2 linked regions of the Drosophila melanogaster genome follow. The protein of the gene in region 2 interacts with the protein of the main gene of each other region in a pairwise test. Each region holds a gene or a part of one and is shown on either strand. Other genes may lie near its edges.

What was found. The genes of interacting proteins can lie anywhere in the genome.
Region 1: the proteins of Fkbp39 (region 2) and Chd64 interact in a two-hybrid assay, tested with the Drosophila melanogaster proteins (one study listed by BioGRID).

What each region holds. Positions count from the first base shown.
Region 1 is NT_037436.4:4,116,436-4,124,240, reverse strand, and holds the start of Chd64 (Chd64), read left to right. Parts: upstream 1-1,852; 5' UTR 1,853-2,031; coding exon 2,032-2,085; intron 2,086-7,805.
Region 2 is NT_033777.3:15,326,622-15,338,467, reverse strand, and holds Fkbp39 (FK506-binding protein 39kD), read left to right. Parts: upstream 1-5,334; 5' UTR 5,335-5,439; coding exon 5,440-5,455; intron 5,456-5,639; coding exon 5,640-5,852; intron 5,853-5,919; coding exon 5,920-6,764; 3' UTR 6,765-6,884; downstream 6,885-11,846. Other genes in the region: Cyfip (cytoplasmic FMR1 interacting protein), read right to left, coding at 732-944, 1,003-1,389, 1,443-1,537, 1,599-2,134, 2,196-2,395, 2,450-2,562, 2,623-2,915, 2,971-4,802 and 1 more; mRpL9 (mitochondrial ribosomal protein L9), read right to left, coding at 6,911-7,585, 7,643-7,714; ea (easter), read right to left, coding at 8,107-8,837, 8,902-9,288, 9,475-9,535; CG6236 (uncharacterized protein), read left to right, coding at 10,423-10,541, 10,688-10,838, 10,905-11,092, 11,155-11,758, 11,816-11,846. UniProt on the Drosophila melanogaster protein: PPIases accelerate the folding of proteins. May function in a signal transduction cascade during early development.

The DNA of each region.
Region 1 (7,805 bases), on a different chromosome or scaffold from region 2:
AAACCCCTAGTATAAACAACAACGCGAGATTCTACGGGGCACCCAGATCGAATTGTGTGTGGACGGGTCCCGAGCAAGCAATAAAAGAATACGAAGACGCGGTATCCACATACCATTAACCCATCCACATTTACAGCGCCTCACTGCTAGGAGGGCATATTCGAACCCCCTCTTTATTTTTTGCCCAACTTTGCACAGTTGTTCTGTAAGTTAAGTTTAATACGTTGAGCCAACGAATCGTGAGGTATTATTTATTTAAACAAAACGAAACAAACGAAAAAAAAAAAACATAGGAAAGAGGAGGAAATAAGGAAATTCAATTGAAATTATTTGCTGATACTGTTCGCAGCTAGTCGAGCAGATACATAGGTAGCCTGTAAACAATAAAACAATTACACGCGGATATATACACCCACTGTAATCACAGATGTCAGTGCTTGATATACACATGCCTAGGTCTAGTGGAACTGGTAGTTCTACCATGTTGTACTATTTGTAGTAGGAGTCCCAAATCTGATTATGCTTATGTCACCCTTTATTATAGGAATGTTCTCTGTATATTATTGCGTCTCTTTTGCGTCTACGTATATATTTTTTGGTAAATGATTTTTTATATATACATATACACATTTATATTTGTAATTTGTATTTATCCATGTGCAAAAATAAATTATGATGATTATTTTTTAAAGAGTCGTCCCCCTCGAAGCATGCATAACAGATTGTAAAAAATGAATCGATTTATATATAATACGAAAATCACACACTACCCACTTGTATCTGAGCGAAAGGGCCTTAACAATTAGTAGGATGCATGATCGATGTATGCAGATCGGTTATAAAAACAGATATAGCAGGCATATTATTCGCATGCGAAAACCGTTAATAGAATAATATATTATAATGGCAATATGTGTATGCAACTAATAAGCCCTAACTTCTAGTTAATTACTGCTTTCCTATGTTATAAACCAAATGGCGATATAATCAAAACAAAAGACAAGCCCACATAAGTTAAATGTGTATGCTACCAACATAACAAACCTTTGAAGATCAAGCTGAATTATGTATTTCTAATATTAAATATATCACAACCCACACATAAAAAAAAAAAAACAAACACGACAAATAGAACAACAAATTATACAAGCAATTCCCCTATTTATTTAGAACCACACTGAAACACTAAAGAAATTCGCTTCTTATCGTAAATCCACAATTGCATAATTTATACGATTAAACAAAATATATATTTATGTGAATAAACTGTAACTAATTCTCAAGGCAATCATCCAAATGCGATTCGCTACTTCTTGGTTTCCAGAAAGTCCCCCAAAAATGTCATGGTCATCTGAATGGAATGCTGCTGCAAGAACCTCTCGATAAGGGGGAACATAGGAAGTTTTCAATGGAACTTTACTCTGGCGAATCTTATCGGATAGTTTGTACACAACCGCAAAAAGTAGCACTAATAGTGGTTGACTTCTATTAAAAGTAAAGCAACAGGTGGATCATGGAAATCATACTGATTCAGATTCATTATCTTTTCAAAACCTATTGAAAACAAAAGTTACTGGTTTAGAAGGCAAATGAACCAGAAATTTTAAATTTATACTTATATAGTGTAAAATTGTTTCCAGTGCTCGATAGTTCCATGTTTTATTATTTGAAAAACAACTGCCGTTAACAAAGCGGTATGACATCATCAATGCCATCATAACAAATCAGCTGCCGCTGATAAGCGCAGCTTGGAGCTTTTATGTTGTACCCAACCTACTAGGTACAAGACTGAGTGTGCTTTACAACACTAAACTGTTGGCGAGCTTTCCTCTGTTTCGCAGCTCGGACCGCCTTTCATAACGTAGTAAGTTTTCGTTGCGAACGGACGTAGCCCAACCAACTTGGCCTTAACCCTTGCGCTCCCTCCGATTTATTCCGCGGCAAACACATTCCAGTGGACAGTGGTGCAGTTCAGCCCAAGACCAACCTACATTTTAGCTCCCTGCAAACCCGTTTCTTCATCAAATAACTATGGCGTCCAACCGTGCAGCGAAGTCTGGTTTTGCCGCCGAGGCCCAGCGCAAAGTAAGTACCAAATAGCAACAACAACCGCACCCCCCACCCAAAAACCGAAGAGCGCCAAACAAAACAACACAATAAACAAATTGCCCAAAAAAAAATCAACTTTTGCACGGGTGTGTGCGTGAGTTTAGAGCTGCATTGACTTTATTTGGCGCTGCGTTGTCAAGATTTTATCTTCGCGCGCCAAATGCCAAAAATTAGCCAAAAATGGTCTTGAAATTGCCAGCGTCTAACAAGGAATGACCTCATTTCGCTGATAAGTCGAACAAGTATTTATGTACATACATATGTATATAGGAATATATACATGCATGTACACACATGTGTAATGCATGCGTAATTCGAAAGCTTGAAGATGATTTAGGTGATTTTGAGGCATTGTCAGTGCGGGTGATTCAAATCGAAGATCGAGAAAACAGTTGGTTATCCATAAATCAAACAATTAGTAGTAGTTAGTAAAGCTCTGGAAATTTCGATATGAATAATATCCCAAGTTCGAACAGTATACATTATAAAGATGAGCTAATATAATCCTAATTAATTGTGCTGCAATAAAAGCAAGTCTGAATACATAGGTGCTACTTGTGGAGTATCCACTGTAGAAGGAAGACCCTTTGGATGATCTCAACCCAACTATTGCAGCATGGTAGCTTCCGCAATGTAAATTGACATTAGTTCCGTCCATTAGCAGCACTTTGCCTCAAATGCACTCATACAAATGCATCGGGCTTTTGTGGGTGGGATGGGGTTGGGGATGGGTTACCCGTACCCTTCGGCCATTTGGCCCTCGTCAAGTCGGGGTTACGCAATTCCAACCGCCCCTGGGCAGCCCCAAGTGAAATTGTATATGTCGCCGGCACAGGGGATTAAGTGCAGTCCGACGAAATCCACAACAAGACAACTACAGTTACAGCATTGCCCAAACAAAAAACGAAACAAATAATCGAGATTTTTCATATCCGAAGTTTTGTATACCCTTGAGGAGCACTTTACCAAGTTGTTGACAAACTGAAATATTTTGTTTTGCTTTAGCTTTGCTTATCTAAAAGTATTTCCACCCGGATTTCATTCTCTTGAGTCAGCCATTTGGCAAAAGGCCTTGTTTATCGGTATTATCTGTACTAGCGCATTTTTAAAACACAGTATGTTTTAAAACACAGTATGAAGTATGTTTTAACGTGGTTTATGGTGATATATCAGGCACTATGGTTATGAAAAATATTATGAGAACTCTGTAGTGTTTATTTATGCCATATCATGTTAAGCTAAAACATTTTGGTACTTGGAATAGGAAGAACCTTGGCATAGGGTATAGAAAAATAAGAGAAATAGAGGCGAGTGCCTGGAGGCGCAGCTGCTGGCGCGACTCCAAGCCGCGATCGAATGGCTCCCCAGGAGCCGAAGGCGATGATGTCATTCCTTCAGCTGTCCCTCCACTGGTGCTCCTCGATCCCTTCGCGATCCATTCAACTCGAAGGCGTTGTTAGTTTGAGCACTTTTGCCGCTCGCTGGGAGTCACTCATATCTTCTGAGGGGGATTCGGGTTCGGGTTTTGAGTTTTTGGGGGTGACAGGAGGTAGAGGCGATAGCAGCACCTTTTCCACCACATGAGCACTTAAAACTGAGTATGTGGCGTAAGCAAACAGCAAAACAAAAGTGAGGCAAAAAGGTATGAAAGCAATATTTTTGTTTGTCTCATGGGTTCTCTACACTCCGTGCTTGCGTGTGTGCTTTTTCCGACTTTTACGACCAGTCACCGACAAATTGGCATGGATCTCAAGTTTCGGCCAGGGAATTCGTAGCCCCTTTATTTTCAACCCTTTCCTGGGATCGTAGCACCAGCTGTCGGGAAAGTTCTAGGAATGAGGCAGAAAGGTCTCAAGTTACTCAAAGTATGTTTACTAATTTGTAACTACATAAACGATTGAATATATTAGTTTAGCAATCTTAGATTCAGCATGATACTATTTCCTTTCTGGAAATTCACCCCTAAGAAGCCGCACTGTAGTTGTTTTCTTTTCCAACTCCCTCCACGCTCGCAGCTGTATCTCACCGCATTGGCGGCACATGGGCCACGTACTAATCACTTGGCCTTTTTCGGAGTCAAGAATCCACACTCAATTAGCAGTGCATATGTGAAAGACACTGTGTACACACTTGTACATCCGCAGCACGCACCTCCCTGTATCTGTATCTATATATCAGTATAGGTACGGGTATCTCTATCAGTGCGGGCGACACGTAAGTGGAACACTTGGCCCACATGAACTCCGTGCTCCTAGATGGGTATAGCTAGGTATTCATTCCCGAACCTCTCCCCCAAAAATTTAACACTTGTTGGCCGCTAGTTTTAGATAAGCCATAAACAGTCGCGGGAGGTGGTCGACAGCGGCTTTATCGTAAATCAAATGCTGTTTTGGATTTCCGGTGAAACTACTGCCAGTGCCGAAAACACCTCGACAAATGAAAATGGAATGAAATTCTGCCCCCTGTCCAAATCCCTCCGAAAAAGGCACTCGATGGGGGCCCATACAACAACTCAGTCAACTGAAGTCGAAGTTGGTCGCTCGTAAACCAGACTCAAAAATCATATATGTATGTACGCAATTGACCTCGTTACATTTTTGCGGATTTTGTTTATGTTATCGTTGTGGAATTTTTGTCATTTTCCCATTTATTTATCCACCCAAAAGATATCGGTCAGCAATTGTCATGGATCATGACGCATTCGAATCGCAAAAGAAAGCGAAATCGGCGGTGGCATAGTGAATAATCACCAGATCTGGCCATTTCGTGGATTGATTTTTGAAGACGCGATTACGTAATTGTTTGCCTGGCGATGGATGCGTCAACTCCCAGCGATCCCTTTCGCAGCAAAATAAAAAAAAACACACATTTAACTAATCATCACCATCACCATCTACATCTATGTATCTGCGCTCAAATATTGCCAAAGTTCAAATTCAAGCCATAACGATGCCATGACATCACCACCATCGGCTTCAAAAAGCCATCAGCCAAGCAAAACGTGCCCCTGTCTCTTTTTCTGTGATCCTACAATGGATTATTATGCAATGATCATCAGTCTGGGGCTCCTCGCCGGCTTTTGGGCGGAAACTTCCGTCAAATTTGCAATAGGGATTCATTATTTATTAAGTATAAAACGTTTTTAGAATATTAGAGACACTTAGTTTCTTGCTGAAGCTAAAACTTATTTCTTAAAACAAACTGAATGGTACGGCTTAGTAATCCATTAAAGGAAGCATATGATTCCTAAAAATCAAGTTTTTAAAATATTTTATTTTCTGAATTTTTTAAATAAATGAGCTGGCTATCATTAACTACTTCCCGAAGTTTCGGAAACTTGCACAAATCTTTGATCATAAAACTCGTAGTGAAGTAAATTCTCGGAACTCTCACTCAATTGTGAAGTCTGAATCATGATGAACATAAATAATAATGTTATGTTGTACCAAAACATTTTCACTTTTCAAGTGGCGTAGGTGTGAATTAAATTGAGTTGGCGTGGGCAGGCGCTCTCCCAAGAAACTGGACTTTTTTCGGAGCTTGGGTTTCTGCTGACCCCCAGTTTTTTTTTTTTACAATTTTGGAAAGCAGGAGTTTTATGCTGGCTCAGCCAGTTTTTGAGCAATTTTAATTTCACTAAAAGCCAACCAGGCTTGGCTTGGCATGTCTTGGCCACTAATGCGCATTGCGTGTGGAATGCCATCCACCCAGAACGCACTTGAAAATAGAATACGTTGTACATCATGAGCTGGGAAATTAATTAGGTTCTTGAGTCTACTGAGCCCTTCATTGTCACGCCGCTTTGTAATGGCCCCTAATCGTGGCTAACTCATCAAGTGACCCAGAGACCCAAAAAAAAAAAAATGTAAAATGAAATATAATTTTGGCTGGGGAAACATAAGGAAATCATCGTAATTTCTAACGGCAAACGTTGACTAATTTGTAGTTCCGCTTCTAATTATTTATTGTGTTTTATACGTTTTGAGTTCGTATCGAGCGGTGGCTTTCGTCTGGAATTCTTGACTCCCGATAAGGCAGTAGTATATTCTAACCAGCTGTACATATGTTTTTAGAGAAATACTTATATATATATATATATATATATGTATGTATATATGGGGTGTACTCCATTACTGGCTGTACTTTTGGCCCGGCATTCGATCGTCGCCGAGTTTTGAGTCGACCTCATAGCGCACAAACCAAACAAAAACACAAATGAAACTCACTGGCTGGCTGACTGGCTGCTGACTCATTAAAACAGCGCTAAAAATATGTATTTTATAGAAGACGAGGCTTCGGAAGAATTGGAGGAATAACTTGGCTATTCTCCACCATTTTTCATTTAGTTTCGAACATTGTTTGTCTGTCCGGGGACCACCAACTGTCAAATTTGTTCTGCTGGATTTGTTTGCCGGATCTTGGGATCTTCGCAGAAGAGCCAAAAAACGTGTAAGAAACGATCGGAATTCATTAGGCTCTTAACGGCTTTTGGCTTACGATTATTATGTATGAATAGTATGCATAAACTGGCCGCAGAATCCCATAAACATCAGCATCAGCATCCCATTCCTAATCAAAATTTATTCATCTGCCCCGAGGGTGTCAATTTATCTGCCACCATCAGGGGCTCTAAGTTATGATCATCAACTTCTGGCCGCGACCAGATTTCAGATTCCCGATTCTCCAACGGAATGTCAATCAGAAATTGCTTTTATTAATTGTCTCACGCTTTCGATGATGAATGGTGCTGTTCCGTTGGCGTTCCGTTCATCGCTCTTTTCGGGCTCTAATGAATTGACCTCTGCTGTTAAGTGCTTGACCGTTAAGCTGAAAAAGTCGGACAAAGCAATTTGGCCAACGGTCGATTGCAATTATTGATAATCTCCAGTTTTGGCCAGCACGTTGGCTAGATAAAGCCATTTCCCGGCGATTACCATATACTGTGCTTATCTCACTCAAAGATCGCTGGCCTTTATTGGGTTCGAACAACAAAAAAGTCGTAAATTTTTAATCTACGATAGCCGCGGACTTCTGTGGCTCGGGAAGGGATTGGGTTGCTGGAATTAGTTGGAGTGGTATAAATACATATTGTGTGTGCAAAGTGCATTCACCTTCATTAAGCACACAAAAACATGGGGAAAAGCGTCCGGACTGTATTTCACTTTTGTTTTACTGCATCGCCAACTTCTCCCCCATTTCCCAACAATTTGTGGGCTTGCATTTCCCCACGTCCAGCGATAAGAAGTGGAATACAACTCAATTGGCGACAATCGTTCATTCGGTTGCTCTGAGATCATTCGTTTTAATAGACTTGCCAGTCAGAGCAAAAATCACACAAATACTAAATAGTAATACAATGAAGGCTAAATTAATAGGGAAAAAAACACAACTTAAAAAAATATTGGTACCACAAATAAAAAACTTTTAGATATGAGTTGTGAAGATAGCAACGCTGTTCAATCAAACTTTATCTATAGACAAAAAAAAACAATCTTATCAATATATTTGAAACATATATTTGATCAAAAATTCATTCATATAGTACTGAGTAGTATTGTATAATATTCAGCTCATAATATATTGCGAACAGTTTTTATAGCTCCACTAACTTAGTTTTTAGTACTTGTTCTTAATCTAAAATCAGTTTGTGACAGCGATTCAATTCAATCAAATAAAACCAATAAATACGTGTTAAG
Region 2 (11,846 bases):
TTTTATCCTTTGACGAAATCCGCTGGAAAGTAAAGAAGTTTCCCTTTCAATCTTGCATCAAACTCACCTACATATACTTTCTAAACTTTTTTTGTTGGGTTTGTTAGAAATACGTATGAAAATTTTATTCGATAATGTTCATTGTATTAATTGTATGTGTCTCAATTGTTGGCTGTCGTGGCTTCTTTTCATGTATGTGGGCATACATGTGCGGCATCTTCTTTGTAATACTTTGATTGTGTTTAAAGCCAATTTGTTTTTATTTTCGCAGTGCTGTCAATTCAATTCTTTGGCTAATTTGATTCTCGAATCGGGAAGCAGAACATAAATGTATCTGTTTGTAGCGAAGGAATACATAGGCCAAAAACATAATATCTTAGGGAGCTTAGAATAGAGTATTTGGGATAATGTACGAGTAGCTGAATCGAATGCCGTAGCAAGTGAATCAAAATTACATCTACATGTATATATATATAATTGCTTGGATAAAACATTTAACGTACTGTAAGATTGAATGCGACATACCAAAAGAGATTTTCAATAAAATCGAATTCAAATAGAACCAAGACCGCCACTTTGACTAAAAAAACTGTCAAAGTTTCGGCAGCATAGCCAAGAAAACTTGGCTTTTCGGCTTCTACGTCGCTGTTTTCCTGGGGACTAATTCATCTGCGATTAAGTGTAACCTATTTGTATGCGATTAGCTTAAATGCATCCCTTTCCGGGCGACTTCAATTGTTTATGCTCTGCCGCAGCTTCTGGGGATCCTGGTAGTGCGACGAGGACGATATGACCGAGGGATGCTGAGGCGGTGGAAAACACCGCACGTGCTCCACATTTGAGCCCTCGCCATCGCCGCCCTTTAGATACTTGTTGAGAATGGAGAAGATTTGTGAGTTTAATACTTGGAACCGACGAATCCGATCCACCATTCGCTTCAATTGCTGTTAAGGAATATTCAAATTGTACTTTGGGCACTTTGGTAGTTATGTTAGAACTTACAATGCCCTTTACGTCCTCATCCTTGCCATCGACGCGCTGTACCCGCAGAATGTGGTAGCAAAAGTCCAGAGCCTCGAAGCGACGCTGCTGTCCCAGCAGTACGATCATGACGCAGCCAGCCCAGTTCAGACCTTCGCCGAAGAGCTCCTCGATGGTGTACTCCGTTCCCCTGACTGGAATGCAATAAACGAACTGCAGAGCCGACCAAAGGCGATGGAACTCCGAGCACTCATCCACGTGGATAATCCCGTTGGCCGGTGGAGGACCACACCACACAGGGTCGTCCAAATAGCTCTTCACGCGGTTGAGAATAACTTCAAAAATGCTGAGGCCACAGCAAAGACGCTCACGAGTCAGCAAATCTCCCTCTCGTGCTATCATTGCTTGCTGTTGGTAAAGATTATTATTATAAAGTTAATCAATTAAGTTTGGGGGCTCACCTTTGCAGTGCCAATCTTTTCCACGTTTGAAACTATCTGCAGATTGGCAAACTGTGCTTCAAGACGCTTTTGCTTAGCCTCCGGTTTTTCATTCTCTGAAATGGGTAGAGATGTAAGTAAGAAAAACTACCCATGAAAGCATCCACTTGTACATACCTTTGCAAAAAGGTCTGGGAAAGATGTTCTGGAAGAGGGCGGCGTGCAGTAGATCGCACACCTCCTCCTGCGAGAGCGCCTGTTCGATCAGCAGGCAAAAGATAATGCTGTTGCCAAACTCCCGGAAAGACTGAAATAGCTCTGTCTTCGCGTCCGGATATTGCACGATGTCTGTAAGATGAGCCTGATAGTAGCTGAGCACTCCAGGCGAACCATATTCGCAACGGGGTAGTTTGCATGACTTGGGCATGGCAATCATCAGCGTCTTGGTGAACTGCAGCAGCGAGCCCTGGATCAGTGGCTTAACAATGTCCTTCAGTATAATGTCCATGACGACTGCTATGCCCTGATAGCCCAGCAGGCGGCACATGGCATGGAAATGCGGTGAACCTACAAAGCCAGTGTACTGGCCATACTGTGTGGAATAGGCAGCATTCAGCTGCTTGGAACCCCACAGATAGTAATGGGACATTTGTGGCGGCTTCTCACGCTGAATAGCCTGTGACGACGAAAGATTCACTTTGGTTCGAATGAAACTGCAAGAGATAATAGTAATAATAAGTATTTTAAACAATAGAAAATTGGCGGCACACCCACCGATTCGTGGCTGCATTATAGCAGTAATTGACCAGAAAGTCGTAGTTCAATTCCACAAAGACGTGCAGTGTTATTCTGCCGTAAGGCGCCAGTACATTGTGGTTAGCCTCCTTTACCATGCCGTCAAAGTTATCCAGGGCCAAGTACTTGCTTAGCAACTTGTGGCAAATTCGATTCGCCTCTAGCAGGCCTTCGAGTTCCTGAAATTAAGCGAATTAGAGACCGATTCTAGACATCTGTAGGATTCCACTTACCACAATGCCGGTTATATCGTTGCCCTCGAAACGACTGATGGCCAACTCAATGCTCTTGTGCATGTTGGCGTTTATGCGTTGTGTGATCAGTTTGTTCAAGTCAATAGAACGGCCTTAAACGAATGGAGAAACCATTAACCAAAAGATCATGATGCAATGGGTGTTTTGCTTACCCAAAAGTTGGACATGTCGTTGTTTTAACAAGGTCTCATAACGATTATTGCGGGGATACGACTGGAAGTTGAAACCGAGTACCTCGCACTCCAAACGGAATCGCTTGTCCAAGAAGATGCTGCCCGCCAATTGCTTGTAATGGGCAAAGATCTGCTCGCTCAGCTTGTAGACAAACTGATCGAAGCACAGATTGACTTCGGCCTCCACTTCGTCGTACAGGAACTGCTTTCGGAAGACAGTGAGTGCGTAGTACGCCGAGTCGTTGTACAAGTCCAGGGGATACAAGACAAATCTGTGTGAGGCACTTAGTTAGTTCAGATCATTTCACCTATTCGCCATTTACTTACTCCATCATTGAGGGCTCCTTCGTTTGCAGAATGTGATCGGTTAGGATCCAGGGCATGGACATTTCAATCGGAAACTGAATGCGCTTCTCCATGGTGATCAGATCCTTGCACTCCTCGTTGTGCTGATGCCGCACCAAGCACTTGTTAACCTTACGACCCATGGTCATCTCCAAGTAGAACTCGCGATACCACAGCTGCGAGAGATCGCAGCACTTCTGAAGCGTGTCGCTGAAGTTGAGCAAGTAGCTCCAGTAGAACGATGTCTTGTGGAACGTGTCGATCTGCAGCAAACAGTTTCCGTCGATGTCCTTGCGCAAAGTGCGCTTGCCGCCGCTTTTGTCGGCAATCAGAGACTCCAGCATGGTGCGCACCATGTATAGCTGAGTGGAGGAAGGTCCCACATTGAGGCGAGGCACCTGGATGCGGAAGCCGCCGTCGGGATCCTTCTTGCCCTTGGCCACTGGATCGTCGGTGGGCTCATAGCCCTTTTGCCAGTCCGCCGATGTCTCTCGCACCGACATGATGATGCTCCGGATAAGATCCTTCTTATTTTTTACGGCCTTTCGCAGCGGTTCACGAAGCGAAAGCTGCACGAAGTCCTGCAGCTCGGAATAGATGTTACGCCGGATAGCCTCGCACAATACGGTTTCAATGCGCGCCATTAGCACCTGCAGTCCCTTTATCATGGCGATGACCTCGATCAGCGCGAACTTCTCTTCCGAGGTGTAATTGTAGCGGGTGGCCCGCTCGTACTCCTCAGCCTCCACGGGGCACTCCTTGTTCTGGTGATGATCAGTCGGATGCAGGAGCTTCCAGGAGTACAACTCGGTGACCACACTGGTCCACTCGGACAGCAATTGAAGGCCGCGCAGAGCCAGGTCGGCCGTAATCCGGTTCTCGGCATCAGAGGGATTCTCCTTGACGGTGGTGGTCACCTCGTTTGTGTATCGCGCCAGCTCCGAAATGTACTTGACGTGATCCTCGCGTATCTGCGGCAAATGCACCATTAGATCCGCCTGTGGGCTGATGGCGTTTGAGCTGGACAGCGGCCACTTGCTGGAATCGAAGTGCTTGCTGCGCTTTATGTAGTTGAAGGGAGCAATCTGCATGTCGCCGAAGAGGGGCACCACTTCCAGGTTCTTAAAGATGCGATCGATGCGATCCAGCCGTATCTTCTTCTTTTGATCAAGTTTGTTGATATTGCACGCATCGCTGTCCATAAGGAACAGGCCAAAGCCCATAACTTTTACCAGCATGTGCTTCTCCTCAGGGGTCAAGTACATCTTTGTCTCGAACATATGCACGCAAATGTTGACCACATCTGAGAGCAGATCCTCGTAGCCCACGATCTTCTCCAGCGTGTCCTTGACCGTGTCGCGAATCTTGTTCTGCGTGGCCAGGAACATGGACAGATTCTGCGACTCCTGCAAGGTGTGCGAGTCCGACATCACTTTGAGGAACTGCGCAGCTCGCCTGTAGGTGGAGTAATCGTTCTTCACGCTGGACTTCATGTTCTTCAGCTCGTCCAGCACGGCAAACATGTTGATAAACTTGCCTAGCGTCAATAGGTACGCCTCGGACACGAAGTCCTTGCGCTTCTCGGCGTGGCACAAGCGCTTCACCTCGCCGGAGAAGGCCTCGATGGCCTTGCGTTGGAAGTACATGAAGTTGAGCAGCTTGTTCACCTCCGGGGCTAGCACCTCGACCGTCTTCTCGTAGATCTCCACGCGATTCGGCTGCTCATTGGACTTGGGCTGCGGAATGGCGCGCGAGCAGCAGCGCCAGGTGTAGAGCATTACTGCGTGTTTCTGCCCCTCGTCCAGGAGCACATTCTGCGGGCGGAGAGAAGGGGTTCAGAGCTGTGAGTAATGCTAATGCGATAAGCCGGATACGCTAACTCACCAAGTTGGCATGGGTGGTGGCCTCCTCGATGTACTTGGCGATACCCGTGACAAATCCATTGCGATCCTCGAAATTCGTATCGAAGTTTGCCTTGTAGATAATCGAGCAGGGCTGCGCCTCGATGCAGGGCTGCTCGTCCGGCAGGGATAGCTCGTCCAACACCTCCACGTTGGACAGCGCGTCGGCTAGCGTAATCTTCTCCGTCATGCTGGGCTGCTTATCATGCTCCAGCAGCGCGAAATGGTTAAATTCTAACAAGGCGGGGCCCCAATCCAATCGACACAAATTTTTTTCGCCACAAATACAACACGACTTTTACCATTCGCCTGGGTGCGTGGACACGTGGCCATAATTAGCACATTTTTGCTGGCGGTTGGCGTCTACGATGTGCTTATGCTTATATGGCTGCGCACCGCTAATTTCGATAAGAGAAAGATAATCGATAAATACGGCGCATTGGCGGCACATCACATCACTAGCGTCTGTGGTTCCGTTTCGTTTTAGCGAACTCAATTTCTCCTATTTTATATTGCATTTTCCGTTAAGAGTAGCCTACAATTCTGCAAGATGTCGATGTTTTGGGGTAAGTCGAACTGATCTCACTTGCCCCCTCCGGGCTGGTTGTGCCAACGAGCTCTTGGGTGCTCCGACCGCGCTTTTATTGCCACCACGTGCTTGCCGCTCGATTTACCGGCAGCGTGGAGCGGCGCCATTTGCACGCCGATGTAAAGTAAACCATGTTTTTGACCAACTGTGTCCTCTTCCAGGTTTGAACATGAAGCCTGAGCGCAAGTACTCGCAGACGATCATCAAGTCGTTCCACATCTCGGGCGTGGCACTCGACAAGGGCCAGGAGGCCAAGTTGTACCTCGCTGCCGAGAAGCAGGAGTACATCGTGGCCACCGTGACCAAGGCCATTCCACAGGTTGCGCTCGACCTGAACTTCAGCAAGGGCGATCGCATCATGTTCTACACCGCCGGTAAGACCTTTTATGTCCACTATGTTCGCATGTTTATCCGTTTCTGACGCTTTCGTTCGTTTCACAGGCGACGCCAGCGTTTCTCTGTTGGGCTACTTGCACGACATTGATTCCGAAGATGATGAGGATGACGATCAAATGACGATCGAGAATTTGCTGAACTCCAAGGCGATCAAGAATAGCAAAAAGTCTGAAGATGATGAGGATGAGAATGAGAGCGGCGAGGAGGACGAGGAGGATACTGATGACGATAGCCAGATAATCGAGGAATACGAGTCCTTCCTCGAAAATGGTGAGGAGGAAGATGACGACGATGTTGATGAGGATAACGAGGAGAGTGGCGAGGAGGATGAACAGGACAGCGACGACTCCGAAGCTGAAGAGGAACAGCCAAAGGCCAAGGTTGCCAAGCTCTCTCCTGGCGCTAGCGCCAAGAAATCTGGCAAGGAGCAGAACGGTGTGGCCAAGAAGGAGGAGGCCAAGCAGCAGCAAAAGAAGAAGGAGAAGCCAGAGGCCAAGAAGGAACAACCCAAGGCCAAGGAGCCAGCCAAGCAGCAACCAGCTTCTAAGGATCCACGTACTATCACCGGAGGCGTGAAGATTGTGGATCAGGTCGTCGGCAAAGGCGAAGAAGCCAAGCAGGGCAAACGCGTATCTGTTTACTACATCGGCCGCCTGCAGTCGAACAACAAGACCTTCGACAGCCTCCTGAAGGGAAAACCATTTAAGTTCGCCCTGGGCGGCGGAGAGGTCATCAAGGGCTGGGACGTGGGAGTCGCCGGCATGAAGGTGGGCGGCAAGCGAGTCATTACCTGCCCCCCGCACATGGCGTACGGCGCACGGGGAGCTCCACCGAAGATCGGACCGAACTCCACTCTCGTCTTCGAAGTGGAACTGAAAGCTGTGCATTAGTGCACTATATTAACATCATATAGACTTGTAATCCTAAGTAAGTATCCACGTCGTACAACTTGATAAAAATGTTAAATAAACTCTGTTTTCCGGCTGTTCATAAATCAACAGTTTTGTAACAATCGCATGTATTTGGTATGGGGTCTCTAAGGGGTTTTTTCGGGTGAACATACATCCAGCAGGGGCTCAGACTGGAGTTTCCAGTGCTCGAGTACGTAAGGCAGCCGTTCGCTGGGATCTGTGCTCCAGTGGTGCAGACGACACTTGAGTCGCGCCTGTTCCAGCTTGTTTATGGTCACAGTGCAGTAGAAGTCCTTGTTCTCCTTCTTCAGGTCGGGTCCCTCGATGCGCTCCTTGGGCAGGGTAATGCACTCCTCGCGACAATAGAACCCAGTCTTGCGCAGCGAGGCCTTGATGTGCCAGGGCTCGAGCACCCATGGCTCATCCTTGTTCATGACCACCGCCAGCACAATGGTCTCCAGCATGTTGACCGTGCGCTGGGCGTAGGGGGAGCTGTGTTTAACAGTCGATTTTTCAGCCTCTGTCTTGGCGTACTTGGCCACATTCTCCGGCGTATTGTACGCGGCCAAACCCGGCAGCAGGAGCTTATTGTAGACAAAGTGCGGCTTCATTGACACCACGTCGCCCTTGTCGCCAACGCCCTCGACGAAGGTCTTTAGCACCACCTCGATGTTGGGCCGCTTTTTGACCAGCGTGTCGTCCACGAGCTCGTAGATGAAGTTCTTGGCCCTCATCCGGCGGGGTTTCTCGTTGGTTTTGTGCAGCGGCGGGTCATATTTGCGCTTCAGGACGAACGTGGTCTGGAAGCAAATTGGTGGTGAATGGGGATCGCTTCCCTAATCCAGGAGAGCACTTACCCGCACTTGCTGCTGCAGGCTGGTGGCCGATTTAAGCAAATTTAACGGCGTTACGTAGATGTTCTTCAACATTTTTACCACCAATATGTCTGCGTTGCCAGACTACTCAGCCAGTTTGCAGTGTTGCCAGATATGATTATTTAATCTGCGTGAGTTCAGCAGTAAAATTTTCAGTGACTTTGAAAACGATTATGAATTTAGTTTTTTTATTGCAACTATTTCTTTACATTTTAATAAAGCAAAATAATTTGCCCAATTTACCTTTTAATTGATTAAAAAAAATGTACCTTTGAAAGTATTATGACTGTCAATTTTAATTTAATAGTTTCATTACAAAATAAAAGATTGACTATGCCAATATTTCGGCGAACGCGCCCATCGACATGCAGTATGCGTACACGCTGTGAAGCAGTTTTTAAACGGAAACCGTTAGTCGAATTTATTTACAATATGACATTTTACAATCAGGACTCAATAGTGTTTTGTATCCAATCAACGTACTTGCCCACCAGCGTGTAAACTCCTGGCCATCCGGCCAGACCGCACGGAGTCGGTCCAAATGACACGACGCCGGCCAGGAAGTAGTAGGTGTTCACCTTGTTGGTGTCCAAGCCGATGAGCGGTCCCCCGGAGTCACCGCGACAGGAGTCGACGCCTTCCTTGCCGCCGGCACACATCTGTGTGTCCTCGAGGAGAATGTCCTGGCTGCTGTAGACGTTCTGGCACTCATCCATCCGGAATCCCTCCACGGCTGCCTTCAGCTTGAGGTTGCTGGCCGACAGCTGCTCCGTTTTGCCCCAGCCGGCCACGTCCATGGTGATGCCGTCGAAGGTGGCCGACCGCAGATTGACGTCCAGAGGCAGGCAAATGGGTCGCACAAAGTCGGTGTACTCCACCTGCTGGGCCAGACGCAGCAGGGCTATGTCGTTGACCTGGTTCTTGGAGGCCGGTATATAGTCGGGATGGGGTATAGTACGCTCCACGGGCACGTCCAGATGCGGTGGCGCGCAGTCCTTCATGCCGCGCACATCTACTTCGCAATCGGGATTAGTGTTGGTGTCCCATTCGCCCAAACGAACACCGGACAACCGCCAGTCGGTGGGCAGTGCCTTTCCGTTGACACAATGCGAGGCTGTGATCACATATCTTGTGCTGATCAAGGATCCGCCGCAATGGTGACCCTTTTTGCCCTGGCCTGCATGTAGGAATTAACCAGTGGATAAGTGCGTTCAGACTTAAGACGATGCCCCTCTACTTACTTTTGGTGTATTCAATTAGAGCCATCCAGGGGAACTCGTCGATCTTGGTCTTCATTCCGCCATAGATGCGATTGGACAGGATGTTGCCGCATTGTCCTGGCAGCGGCAGAAGGCTGTTGCTGGTTACATTGGGCTTGGGCGGTGGCGTCGTCTCCGATGAGCTCTCCCTGTAGCGGTCCGGACAGCAGATGAGCACCTTGCCGTTCGTATAGCCGCACTGGCTGCGACTCAGGTAAAGCCGGTCCGTGTCCCGGAGCGGGGTGGTGGTCAGCAGGCCGTATAGGTACTTGCAGTCCTCCAGATGGATGCACAGCGCACGCTCCCGATTCGGCGTTATGCAGCGCCCATAGTTGGGCACCTGGGCCGCCTCGTTGGGGAAGTAGAACTCTGGAAATCCAGACTTTAGGTTCAGAGAGCTTACCAATATTGTGAATACATAAATTAGGTCATTAGCTATGGAAGTACGGAAACAGGTTTCCAGCGACTTGTGAAGGCCCGCGGCAAAAAAAAACAAATACGTTAAGCTAGTCATGTCCAGCAGATGAGCATCTTGGCAGTCTTCTATTTACTTACGGCCCGCCGATGATTTCGCCAAAATGCCCAAAAAGAGGCAGATAATCGATGGCTTTAGCATTTTCGTTGCGCAATCGGACCTCGTTAGTCCTTTCTCAAGACGTCGTCAGTGGTTTGCGGATAATGTTTTGCCTAAAAACAATATTACAGACCGACCGCAGAAGCAGTTATCAAAATAAACGGCGCGATAATATGGACGATACCAGGTGCCACAGCGGAGCGGAGTGAAACGAAGAGGCCGAAGCTGAGCTTGGCGCACAACTGAATCTTCGGACGGACGCGGTTCTCGGCCTGCGAGCTTTGTCGCAAGCTTTTTGGCGAGTCTCCAAATCAGATATGAAGATAATCGTGGGAGCAGATCTTTATCTCTCTTCCAATTATTATTCTTAGTAATTGTCAGTTGGCTTATTTAACTTTGGTACTAATAGAATTTACTTTGTCACATGCTGAGTGTAAGTAAAGTACTCGGCAAATTTAAGGGAGTATCTACCATTATTTAATCCCCGCCTAAGTTCGATTGTATCACATGGTGTTTTGATAGCAAAAAGCACTATCATTAACGATAAGCTAACGGTATATTTCGTTCTACAGCAAACTGAAAGTTCTACCGACTTTAAATCGGACCTAAAGCAAAGTTTAAAGTCGCAGTTTAAATTGCAGCGGTCGCGTTGCCAAACAACACAGTATGACCGAATTCGCAATGTTGTTTGCCACTGTTTTGGCAACTCGCATATAGCGGTACGTCGCAGCTGGTGATAAGTTAAATGTTTAATTTAAAAAATGAGCGTGGATATTTAGTAAAGGTCGAATAGGCGGCAAGTTTGGAGATCGGCAGTGGTGTAAGTAGTACGTCGCTTGAGTGCCGAGTGAGTGCTGTATGTGCAGCAATAATGCGAATGCAAGTCTCATGTGTCTGGTCCGATATTTGCAGCTCATAATTTATTCAAAATGCGCTTTGTGCGGCGGGGAACTGTCCCCAAGATTGCAGCATGTTGCTGTGTGGTGGTCCTGCTGGTCACCTGGTATGTGTTGAACGTGGAGCGGGATCTGGATAAGAGCCTCAAAATGTAAGTATGTCTAGTTGTGCGTCACAGCGGCTTGGGATATTGATTGTACGATGTTTGTCCATACATATGTATATGTACATATGCGCATATTTGTGATAAAGAGTATTTATCTTTTGCAACTAATTCAATTTTGTATTTAATTAAAGCGAAATCATCGAGCGCTCCATAAGATCGGCTGTGAATCGTGGCGAGTGCCGGCATCCCCATCTGCCGCTGGACAATCCGGACATCATGAAGTTCTACAAGCCGGTTGAGCGAATAAACTGCGGCGAGGGCATGGACTGGGTCATGTGTGAGGTTGGTTGGGACTGGGCCCCTTCTACAAGAGCTGATTGCTTAACTTAAACCTCGTTTCCCCCAAAGAAATCCATTTGCTTTGTGCGACCAGAGATTGCGTCCAGCCACGAGGATGTGATCTGCTCCTACACGGACATTATTCGCAAGTCGGACTACAAGGTTCGCTTTGGGCAGTCACTGCGCATGAAGGAGCCCTATGTGCTGCAGGCCAGCGACTTTGTCAAGGTGGTCTGTCGATCCTCCAGCGGCGAGAGGTGACCATTATCTTATTTTATAGTTATGCCTATACTTTAAAGAATGATCTTCATGTACTTAGTTGGTTTGGCATGGCCCACGGAATACGGGATACGGTGCCCCGTCCACCGGCCTCCAATTTCTCCCCGAACTTGGCCGTCCTACCACCCGAGGCGGTTGCGCAGGCCCAGCAGCAGATGCAGGATGGGGCCACAGCTCCCATCTACAATGTCCTCATGTTTGGCTTCGATTCGCTGAGTCGCAATGCCTTCATTCGCAAGCTGCCCAGGACCTACGAGTATCTCACCCAACAGTTGGGCGCCACCGTTCTCAAAGGCTATAACATTGTGGGCGATGGTACGCCACAGGCGCTGGTGCCCCTACTGACGGGTTTCACGGAACTGGAGCTGCCGGAGACAAGGAAGCGGTTGTCCGGGGCAGGCAGCGTGGATTCGTATCCTATGATTTGGAAGGATTTTGCCCGCCTGGGATATATGACCTCCTTTAATGAGGATTTGCCCAATGTGGGCACTTTCACGTACCGCATGACAGGGTTTGAGGCCCAGCCGGTGGACCACTACCTGCGTACCTACTATGTCCAGGCGGAGCACATGGCCGCCGAGAGCAAGCCCAACTGCATTGGCCACCAGCCTGATCACATCACCATGCTGGAGTACACAAAAAACGTATGTTCTCTTTCGAAATGTGCTTGGAAACTAACTCATTGTATAATTTTCGTACAGTTTATGCTTAAGTATCGCGATGCACCGCGCT